Linked DNA regions of Cricetulus griseus. The protein of the gene in region 3 interacts with the protein of the main gene of each other region in a pairwise test. Links are inferred from orthologs where the notes say so. Each region holds a gene or a part of one and is shown on either strand. Other genes may lie near its edges.

The links.
Region 1: the proteins of Rpa1 (region 3) and replication protein A 30 kDa subunit-like interact in binary tests that used the Homo sapiens proteins (3 or more experiments, as listed by UniProt). The link is inferred for Cricetulus griseus from reciprocal best matches to the Homo sapiens genes RPA1 and RPA4.
Region 2: the proteins of Rpa1 (region 3) and Mtus2 interact in binary tests that used the Homo sapiens proteins (3 or more experiments, as listed by UniProt). The two-hybrid records come from large-scale screens. The link is inferred for Cricetulus griseus from reciprocal best matches to the Homo sapiens genes RPA1 and MTUS2.

The regions. Positions count from the first base shown.
Region 1 is NC_048604.1:49,771,018-49,775,247, forward strand, and holds the start of replication protein A 30 kDa subunit-like, read right to left. Parts: upstream 2,865-4,230; intron 1,092-2,864; 5' UTR 1,038-1,091; coding exon 36-1,037; 3' UTR 1-35.
Region 2 is NC_048597.1:83,941,422-83,945,075, forward strand, and holds part of Mtus2 (microtubule-associated tumor suppressor candidate 2), read left to right. Parts: intron 1-1,732; coding exon 1,733-1,973; intron 1,974-3,654. UniProt on the Homo sapiens protein: Binds microtubules. Together with MAPRE1 may target the microtubule depolymerase KIF2C to the plus-end of microtubules. May regulate the dynamics of microtubules at their growing distal tip.
Region 3 is NC_048600.1:88,753,385-88,757,038, forward strand, and holds part of Rpa1 (replication protein A 70 kDa DNA-binding subunit), read right to left. Parts: intron 2,675-3,654; coding exon 2,567-2,674; intron 1-2,566. UniProt on the Homo sapiens protein: As part of the heterotrimeric replication protein A complex (RPA/RP-A), binds and stabilizes single-stranded DNA intermediates that form during DNA replication or upon DNA stress.

The DNA.
Region 1 (4,230 bases), on a different chromosome or scaffold from region 3:
AACATCTTCAGAAACCGCAAAATCAGTTATTTGCCTCAGCCTGAAATTTTAAGGTACTCACTATCCGAGGTGGCAGAGATGCGTTGTGTGGAAATCAGATGCTCGATAGCTTGAGTGACAGCTTCATCGGTAAGTGCATGGAGGTCTCTTCGCAGCTCACTAATAGCCTTCCCTTCCTGGTGAGGACATTCTTGAATCAGACGCAGCACCTCCAAATGGATGAAATTAAGACTAGCTGCCTTAGCAACCCTGGCGGCGGCTGCTCGGGCTCGGGCTTCTTCCAAGAGGTGCCTTCCTGTGGACACACCTTCACGACTTTGATCCAGCATCATGTGGGCATTGACGACCTCCAAGGTGTGTGTGGACAGCTCATTCATATCTTCCAGGACACGGATGCTTAGAACCCCAAGCCGTCTGGTTCCCTCCGAGGACTGGAGGACACCAAGCACTTTGGCATACACGCCAACTGGCAGGGGAATCACACATTGCCTGACCCTCTCGCGCGACAGGGGCTGCCTGGCCTCGATGGCCTTTGCGGTCATGTCATCAATCTTGTACATCATGTACCGCGAAGCTTTCTTGGCCTCCATGATCATCCCCACGATAGAGACCCGGTGAAGTGCAAAGCCCCTGATCTTAAACACGTTGTCAACCTCAACAGCAGTAAGCAACTGGCTTATGCAGCAAGGCACAATGCTGTGAATGCCAGGCCTGGTCAAGGTGGTCATGGGAAGACCCAGGTCCTGACCTCCAGCTTGCTCATCACTGCCGCTTGCCCTGTTAGCCCCATCATCATCAACAAAGCTATCATTACTCCCAAACCCACTCTTACTCATCATCTTTTGAAGTCTTGGCAGGATTTGATGGCTCGACAGCAAGAGGTGTTCGCTCACAGGCTGCACAGAAACTCGCTTGTCGACGGTCTCTCGAATCTCAGCAAGATGGCACCTCCAACCTCGGACTAGAGCTAATGCAGAATGCCAACGCCTCAAGACCTTACTGAACAGCCAATCAGCTACCAGATGAGGACCCAACATTCTCGCGAGATTACAAAGCCCTCCTCCGCATGTTTTTGGTTGCTATGCAGAATTCTAAAAATAGAAAGCGTGCCAACTGTCCAGCCACTGTAATACATACACTCGCGAGATTTGAGGATGGAGGATCTCCAAGAGCTTGATGCCCACCTGGTTCACACAGTTCGAGAACAGCCTGAGCTAAACTACACAGGGGGACCTTGCCTCAAATTAAAATATATATATATGTATATATATATATATATATATATATATATATATATGTATATATATATATATGTATATGTATATATATATATGTATATATATATATACATATATATATATATGTTCTTAACCCCCCCAAGTATGTAATATCAAGCACTGTCTGCTATCTTTATAAAGTTGCATTTGAAGTAGGGAAAATATGTACTACGCACTCCATTATTGAATGCCACAATTGGGAGGGGGGTTCTGTTTTATTTTTATTCCTGTGTGTGTGTGTGTGTGTGTGTGTGTGTGTGTGTGTGTGTGTGTGTGTGTGCATCTGTGCAGGTGTGTGTGTGTGTGTGTGTGTGTGTGTGTGTGTGTGTGTGTGTGTGCATCTGTACAGATATGTGCCCAAAATCCCAGAGGACAGTTAGGGTCATATCCATACCTGGCTGTGGTGGCTTAGCACTGCGGAGGCCACAGCAGAAGGGTTACTTAACATTCAAACACAGCCTGAAAGATGTTGTTAGTTCCAGGCTGGCCTGGCCTACAAATTTGAGATGGTACAAAATAAAAAAATAATAGAGATCTCAAATCTTTTCGTGAGATCACTAAATCTTAAAAGCATGCCATTTTAGAAATAGCAAGATAGCAACAACTAAAAAATGCTTCTAACCTAAAGCAAGTCACATCTTAACACTGTCTTTATTATGAAATTATAACTTTCAAATTTTATCAAAAATATGACTCTAAATAACAAATATATCGAATTTATACCTGATTCCACCTAAATGACTGAGATTTAAATTATTTTCAGTGCTTTATGAACTAGATATCAGTCTGAAAAATATAAGGGAAACACTAATAAAATTACATTGTCTTTATATACTCATTTTAGTAAATTCTGAACTCAAAACGGTGATAATTTAGCATGTAGATCACAGAATGATTCAATATTACATTGAAATCTATTTTTTTCATAAGACATTATTTGGGATATTACTAATTTTAAAGCCTGTTATTGTCAATAAAGAATTATTATTCAAACCCATTGCTATCAAAAACTTGCCTCTTTATAAACATCTGTAAGATAGTTTAATGAATGTATAAAATAGTAAGGAATTAATTAATAGTCTCCATTTCTTTATTTGTTTAAAAGTAGTTTGAGCTATCTCAAAGTTACAAAAATGTGTGTGTATGTTTGTGTGTAACGTGGTCTATGTAAAATTTAAATATAATATGAAATTATATACATACGTATAATCACAAGTGTAAAAGGAATAAAATTTTAAACCAATGTAATTAATGTGTTTCGCAAATATATAACAATTTTCTTGGTAAACAAATAGACTAATATGCAAATGTAAATATTTAGCTTCTAGATTTAACTCCTTCTCAAAAAGGAAATAACTATTAAACAATTACCTATATTTTAAAATCATACATGAGTAAAGATCAAAATAGCTAAACAGATGTTTTTAAACATTTAGAACTTGATAATCAGACAATGCTCTTCTATTAGATGATAATACACTTCTGAACAGAAAAATCATGAGGTTAAAGTAACATATCTGATTATACGAAATATCTATATACAATACAAAATGTATGAATCCTATAAAAATGATAAGAACTGCCTACCTGACAGGATTGCTGGTTAAGGAAACCCTCAGAGATTCCAGACAGTTGAGAAGTTTCTCATCTGAGATACCTGATTTCAATTCATGAACATATTCTTGTGAAGACAGGGTGCATTCATGCTTGCTGTTTTTCAGGCCACCCTATCAAACAAATAGAACATGTCATTTTAAAGAGGTGTCAAGGGTTTTTTTTTTAAATCTTGCAAGTAAAACATAGACTATATTAATAACATTATGACATTTTTCAAACAAAGTATGTTTCAATAATCTTTTCTCCTAAGCAACATTAAAATCTAATGCTTTGAATACCAATTTAAAAAATTAAAGGAATTTTAATTACAAGAATAAAGATTATATCAATATTTTACTTTGTGTGAGTGCTATGCCACCTCACTCTTTTGTTTCAATACTCTACCTCCATGTTAAATTCCCAGACCAACAATTCTTCAAAGACCTGAGTGGGAAGACTATTGTGTAGGATACATTCTCCTCAGCCCTTTAAAAGAGAATTATACTAGCTGGTGTTCACAGACTGAAAAGAAACCTGATGTGAGTAGCAAAAAGTATTATTGACAGGGTTATTTAAACTTATATTCCAAGTATTAGGATTTATGCTAACTGTTTCCCTCAATTCAAAATATAAACATTGTTAGATCATCTTATTAATTTTGTAGTTGACAGTTAACATTTATATTCAGTTATATGTACCACAGAAAATAATATTTTTTTGGTTTTTTGAGACAGGGTTTCTCTGTATAGCTTTGGAGCCTATACTGGCACTTGCTCAGGAGACTAGGCTGGCCTTGAACTCACAGAGATCTGCCTACCTCTGCCTCCCAAAATCAAATCTTTTAACATTCTCATTATAGGAATAAAGAAGTCAGCGGAGTATTGTGATGCACCTCCCATACCAGCCCTTGGGAAGCAGAGGCATGTGGATCTCTGAGTTCAAGGCCAGCCTGGTTTACATAGTAAGTTCTAAGACAGCCAAGACTACACATTAAAACAGGTAGATTCTGGGGAATAGGTAACGGCATAATTAGTGAGGTTTCAGAACTAAATTATAAATATTTTGAACTTCCAATGATTCATTTATCCGTTCTATGCCACTTTCCCCAATGTTGAATAAAAAATTGAAGCAACAGGAATATAAGTCTGAAATTTCTATTTGAAAAATGTCAAAGTGTGTATCTTCAGCATAATCAATATGGCACAACATAGTATTAAAGAAATAACCCTGAAACAAAACAGTGTGATAGATTAAACTAAATCTCACTGTACTTAATAGAGCTGTAATACAAGAACGGCTTATTATTAACATCCGGATCTGATACTGAACAAAGGCAACAACTAGATAATAGATGGAT
Region 2 (3,654 bases), on a different chromosome or scaffold from region 3:
AAATTATTATAACAACTAGACTGACTGTGCCATTCCTTTTTGCTTGTTTAATATAAAGAAACAATAAACTGGAAAGAAGACTGGGGAAGAGTCCCATCCCCAGCACCCAAATCCAAAATTATGTGAGAATGGACATTCTGGGAGCAGGCTGTGGATATATCATTATGTATTATCTATATTATATATGTACATATATGCACACAAATATGATTACTATAGATTGCATTCTGAATTGTTAAGTACAGGAAAAATTAGTAGCAATGCTATGCTATTAAACTGAGGAATTGGTGGAGGGAAGCATGATTCCTTTGCTTAACAACTGTTTATGTGTAGACCCTGTTGATACATGCTCTGAACTGAGCAGTCCCCAGAACTCTTGCCTGGATCTGTTATCCCAGAGGAATGTACCCAAATGTTCCTGAGAACATTTAGCATCTGTGTGTGTGTGTGTATGTGTGTGTGTGTGTGTGTGTGTGCGCGCGCGCACGCATGTGAGTGTATATGTGAGTGAGTGTGAGTGTGTGTGTGAGTGTGTGTGCATGTGTTTGTGTGTGCATGTGACTGTGTGTGTGCATGTGAGTGTACATGTGAGTGTCCATGTGTGCATGTGAGTGTACATGTGAGTGAGTGTTCATGTGTGCATGTGAGTGTACATGTGAGTGAGTGTTCATGTGTGCATGTGAGTATTCATTTGTGCATGTGAGTGTGTGTGCATGTGAGTGTGTGTTCATGTGAGTGTTTGTGTGTGCATGTGAGTGTGTGTGCATGTGAGTGCACATGTGTGTGAGTGTTCCTGTGTGTGTGTGTGTATACGGCACACGAGTGGAAGTCAGAAGACAGCTTGCAGAAGTCTGTTCTCTCCTTCCATTGTATGAATCCTCAGTGTTGAACTCAGGTCATCAGGCTTAGCAGCAAGCACCTTCACTCACTGAGTCATCTACTTTGCCCCAAGTCTGGTTTTAATTATGTAAATATGCAGTACAGGCCTACAATTTTTTCTATTAATTTCTCTATTTTTCTGCAGATGAACATTTTCCCCCTACTAACAACTATTTTTAAGTGTTCTATTGATTAAACATGACATAATAGTTTATTTACTTATAAGATTAGTGGGTATAAAAATGATGTATTTTCTCCATAGGTATAATGAAGCTTTTAGTCATTTTTGAACATTTGTTAAATTCCTTTTTTGTTTAATCAACATTACTTAATTTTTGAGATTTATTTTTATTTTATGTATATGGGTGTTTTGCCTGCCTGCATCTATGGGCACCACATGTGTGCAGTGCCTGATGTGGCCAGAGAGGGAGACAAATCCCTTGTAATGAAGTCACAGATGGTTGTGAGACACCATGTGGGTGCTGGGAACTCAACCTCAGTTCTCTGCAAGAGCAGCAATTCCTCTTAACTGCTGAGCCTTTCTCCAGCCCTGATATTGTTTGTTTAATAAGTAGTCATTGAAATTTCAGTGCATTTATAACAGTGAAATGGAAAAGAAATCTTAAAACTGAGTTCTTTTTATCTCCCTACGACACGTAGATTGATAGAGTATTACAATTGGCAGGGACTCAAGTGCTCACTCAGTTGTGCTGTCATCATGGAGATGAGGACCCTGGGCTGAGAGACAGCACCACATCTCTGACCAAGAGGCTAATAGCGTGAAGGTGCTTGTCAGCTGAGCGTAGATCTCCTGTCCCTGTTTAGACTGATTTACTCTGATCTCTCATCATAGGTCACGGACCACCCTGGGAAAGAAGAATTTTGCTCACCTCCTTACACTCATTATGAGGTCCCCCCCACTTTCTATCGCTCTGCCATGCTCCTTAAGCCCCAGTTGGGACTGGGTGCAATGTCACGTCTCCCATCCACCAAGAGCAGGATTCTGATTGCAAGTCAGAGGTCTTCAGCAAGTGCCATCCATCCACCCGGACCGATAACAACAGCTGCCAGTTTCTACGGTTCTGATCCTTCAGGTAATTAAGTCTAACAACTGCTCTCTTTTCCTGGTACACATATAAATATCAACTATAAAATATTGTGAGTATCTACTTATGAACGACTCTGATTGGTAAAAGAAGCCTTTCCCCAACCCCCCATCTGTCTGGAGACACAGATGTTTTTGAGAACTCACCTGATGCAGCTGTCATCTTCCATGCCACCTTCACAGCCGTGGCCGCTGTTATCACCTCCTGGCTTCTTCCAATTTCTCCCTTCTTTAAAACTCCTGTAGACTCAGAAGACTTGCTCTGAAGGTTAGTTTTATTTTTGGGGGGAAGAGAGTATCGATGAGGGCTTGTCTAGATAGGTTAGCCTGTGTGTATGTCTGTGGGAGATTATCTTCATTATGTGAGTGGATCTGGGAAGTCCCAGCCCACTGTGGGCAGCTCCATTACCTGGGCTCAGGGTCCTGGACTGTATAGGATGACTGCCAACTGGGTTCTGCTTATTTTATATTCTTGAAATAATATTAGTATTTACATTTTTGTGAACAACAAACTGCATATTATCCTTAGGACAACTGATTTGAAATGAATTATTGTGTAAAAGTATACTTAAATGTTAAAAAAGCATTTATTATCTTTTTTATTTTGTGTGTATAACTATTTGCCTGAATGTATGTGTACCACCTGCATGAAGTATCCACTGAGGCCAGCAGAGGGCCTCAGATTCTCCTGGAACGGGCGTTAACAGAACATTGTGAGTTGTCAATGTGGATGCTGGGAATCGAACCCTTGTCTTTTGGAAAACCAACAAGTTCTTTTAACCTCTGCCCCATCTTCCCTCCCCTGTTTGGACTTTGTTTTCTTAAGTCCAACTAATTTTCTAGGAAATTTATAGCAGTTATTTTTCTTGGATGTTCCATATACTTGATTATTTTGGGGTTTTACCATTTTATTTTTGAGCCAAGTCTCATATGTAGCCCTGACTGGCCTAGAACTCACTCTACACACCAAACTGGACTCACCTTACTCCTGTGTCAGCCTCCTGAGTGGTGGGATTACAGATGTGAGTCACCATGCGCAGTGACCATTGCCATTATTGTTGGACAGAAATGTTTTCATCTCTTTGCTGTTTATTACTTTGTGAATTGTCATGACTCAGAGAGTTACTTCTTCTTCTTCTTCTTTTTTTTTTTTTAATAAGCTTCTGCCTTGGTAGTTTCCATGATAGCTGTATATCTTAGTGGGAATACCTGTACTTAGAGCAGGTACTAGTCCACTGTAATTCAGTCAGTAGGCAATTGTTTCTGGTAAGCATTTCAGTGCTGATCCTGGTGTGGTGACAATGCAATTAACACACAAAAACATCCTGCCTTCAGGGAGCTTAAATTTTAAAATATGGGGCTGACTTGTTAAAAAAAAAAAAGAAGTCAGTAAGTTACACTGTCAGTTGCGATAAATAAGCAGTGCTGAAGAAAACGAAACGTTGGTGAAGGAGGAAGAAGGGGGTTTGTGCAGGAAGGGATTCTTGTTTGAACAGAGTGATCAGGAAGGCCTTCCCAAGAAAGTGTCCTGTAAGTCAATCTCAAGGGAAGATGAGGGAGGGATCCTGGTCGGTGTCTGTACTGTTACCTTCCAGGCAGAGGGAGGAGCTTTCCAGGCAGAGGGAGGAGCTTTCCAAGCAGAGGGAGGAGCTTTCCAGACAGAGGGAGGA
Region 3 (3,654 bases):
CAGGCGGATCTCTGTGAGTTTGAGGCCAGCCTGGTCTACAAAGAGAGTTCCATGGGAGCCAGGACCATTACAGAGAAACCCTGCCCCGAAAACCAAAACAAATAAAATAAAACTTAGTAGGGCTGGGCCTGGTGCAGCTTTTAAGGCCAGCACTAGAGAGGCAGAGGCAGGAAGATCTCTGTGAGTTCCAGGGCTACATAGTCTCAAATTAAAAAAAAAAAATTAGTTAAAAAAACAAACAAACAAAAAAACCTAAAATAATTGGAAAAGTCTGGTGTAAGCTAGGCAAAGTGGCCATATCTGTAATCCCAGTCTTCTGGAGGCTAAGGCAAGAGGATTACAGTGAGCATGAAGCCAGCACCAGCTACATAGGCTGGCCTGGGCTACAGAGTGAGCTTAATCCTGGAGCCTCTGTATCTGTAGCTCCTGACATGCTGAGCAGGTAGATGAGTGGATGGAGTGGGCAGTGCCAGGAAAAGGCCGGAAGATGCCTTCCTTTTCTCACACTCCTCAGATGCTATCTGATTTAGTTACTTTATTGTAAGTTTTAAAAAAGCTGGCTTTTAGTTTGGGGGTGTGGTGGGTGATAAACTGGGATACTCAGCCCTCTCTCTCTTTTTTTTAAGATTTATTTATTTATTATGTATACAACATTCTGCCTCCATCTATGCTTGCATGCCAGAAGAGGGCACCATATCTCATTACAGATGGTTGTGAGCCACCATGTGGTTGCTGGGAATTGAACTCAGGACCTCTGGAAGAGTAGTCAGTGCTCTTAACCTCTGAGCCATCTCTCCAGCCCCCCCTCTTCTATTTTTAACTTTTGAGACAATGTTCATTAAGGTGCCCAGTTGGTCTTTAACTTGGCTTCCTCCTGCCTCAGACTGCTGAGGCATAAAATGCATGAACTTAAAACTTTACATAAAACTAATAATTCATATAGGCTAAGTACCCCTGTAGGTCACACGGGTATGAAAACAGACTTATCACCCAGACTTCTTTTATTTGAGAAAAGTCATTCCTTGGATTTTCAATATATAAACAAAATAATGTGCTAAATCTTCAAACCTTGAAACTGGATGCCATTACTCTTTAGAGCTAAGGGAAGCATGGATGCACACTCCCAGAGCACCATGGTTCCTGAGGGGAGTCCTGTATGCCCTCATTCACCAGCTAAGAACAGTCAACTATAATAAGCTCATAAAAATCCTGAAAGGCTGCCCGGAGCCTGCAAATCTGATATGAAAATAGAGGACCAGGCAAAAGAGATAAAAGACGATTGCACTTTAAAAGTCAATTCCAGTTATTTCTGTAAAAGGACGTTGTGGGACTATTTTCAGGGACCTCATGGATAATTTAAAAAGGAGTTGAGGGCAGAACCAAACAGAACTGAGGACAGAAAGAGTAAGAAAAGCACATCAAAACAAATGGCAATTCTTCTTTGTGGCCTTTGTAAGTATATAACCAATATGGAGGAATGGGGGGAAAAAAGGACACTGTATGTCGATAGATGTCAGTTTCCATGGCCTAGAAAGTACGGCTCTTACTATTCTTGGTTTTAACTCACCAAGTGTCTTTTTCTTATATTTGGCATAATCAGTAATCCATTCTCTCTCTCTCTCTCTTTTTTTTTTTTGGTTTTTCGAGACAGTTTCTCTGTGGCTTTGGAGGCTGTCCTGGAACTAGCTCTTGTAGACCAGGTTGGTCTCGAACTCACAGAGATCCACCTGAGTGCTGGGATTAAAGGCATGTGCCACCAACGCACGGCAACCCATTCTCTTAATGTATAAAAAGGCAAATTAGTAAAGGTGAAATTAGTAATTTTAAAAATGTGGGTTCCAGTCATCTCAAGAGTCCCAACACATACATGCACGCACGCGCACACACACGCGCGCACACACACACACACACACACACACACACACACACACACACACACACACACACACACACACACACACACACACACACACACACACACACACACACACACACACACACACACACACACACACACACACACACACACACACACACACACACACACACACACACGGTCTTGCTATACAGTCCAGGCTAGCCCTGAACTCACTATGTAAACTAGCTTGGCCTGGAACTCTGGGTGATCCTCCTGCCTCAGCCCAAGTACTAGGACAACAGGCAGGGAGCATCACCATAGCATGTAAAGTGACTTTAATACAAAGTCACTTTGTAAGAACCCCATCTGACAGCCTGAAATTGCAAGTACCCCAGATGTGCACTATTCTAAGATCTGACTCAACGATTCTAAAAAGTGTTTATTGGTTAACAAAGCACACCGACAAGTTATTTCAGAAGACACCTTGCAGCTCTAGACTGCAGGCACACCAGCTCTGATGTGTAAAAAGGGTAGTGGGGACAAGGGTGGTGTGGCTTCTGCATACAGCTGCTTTATTCTCCTGTAGCATTACCCTTTGCTAGACACGCAGTACAACGAGGACTCATATACAACACCCAAAGAAGCAAGCAACAACAGCTCAGTGGCATAACACAAGCACTATCACAGTGCTAATAAACAAGTGCCAACCTTCTCTTTCAGTTCCCCAAGGTATGCAGTGTTCTGCCCAAGGATAGCCTCCGCAGACTCCTGGAAACATGTCACCCACTGATTCTCTTGAAAATCTGCAACATTTACCTAAAAAACACAACACGCTATTATTTTAGCAAATAACACCAAGGAGAAGGGAGATTACCTTTTCCTACTTAAAGTAACACAACCCCCGACTTTCAATGCTTTGACGGAACAGTTCCCCTCATATGAAGTATACCGTTTCAGTCATCATTTTTCATTTTTAGTACAGTATCCAATAAGTCACACAAGTTGCTCAGTACTTTTATCATAAAGCAGGCTTAGCTGTGCAAATGTTCTGAGCACACTGAAGGGATTCGGGGTTCAGCTAGGGCCCACTGTTAAGTGCAGGTGATGCTTTGCCCACCCCATCCCCCCATCCCCCCCCCCCCCACAGGGTTTCTCTGTGGCTTTGGAGGCTGTCCTGGAACTAGTTCTTGTAGACCAGGCTGATCTGGAACTCACAGAGATCCACCTGCCTCTGCCTCCCGAGTGCTGGGACTAAAGGCTTGTGCCACCACCGCCCGGCCACTTTGCCAGTCTTTTAAAAGCTGTGACAGATGCAATGGGAAGTTTCAAATGTGGTCTAGTTCAATCTTCTAGAGATGTGATTTCAGATCTAGGAGTCGTCTCAACTAAACCCTAACAGATGTGGAAGCATGCAGTTAACACTGTGCTCCCCTCTCTAAATGCAAAAGGCTTTGCACTGGAAGTTTCGAGTGAGCTTCCAGCAGTATAGTGGGCTCTTTTCATGTTATTTGACTTACTATTTATTCTTTCTCTCTCTCTCTCCACACCTGGCATCCTTTAGTTTTTTGAGACAGCATATAATGCAACCCAATCTGCCCTCAAACTTGCTATGTAGTCAAAGCGGGCCTTGAACTCTTCCTGCCTCCACACCCCACCACCAAGTGCGGAGAGTACAGAGACATATGCCACCATGTTCAGCTATTTTGTTTTTTAAAAAACAAAATCTTACTGTGCAGTCTAAACAGGCCCAACTTACAATCTCTCTGCCTCAGCCTCCCATGGACTGAGTTCACATT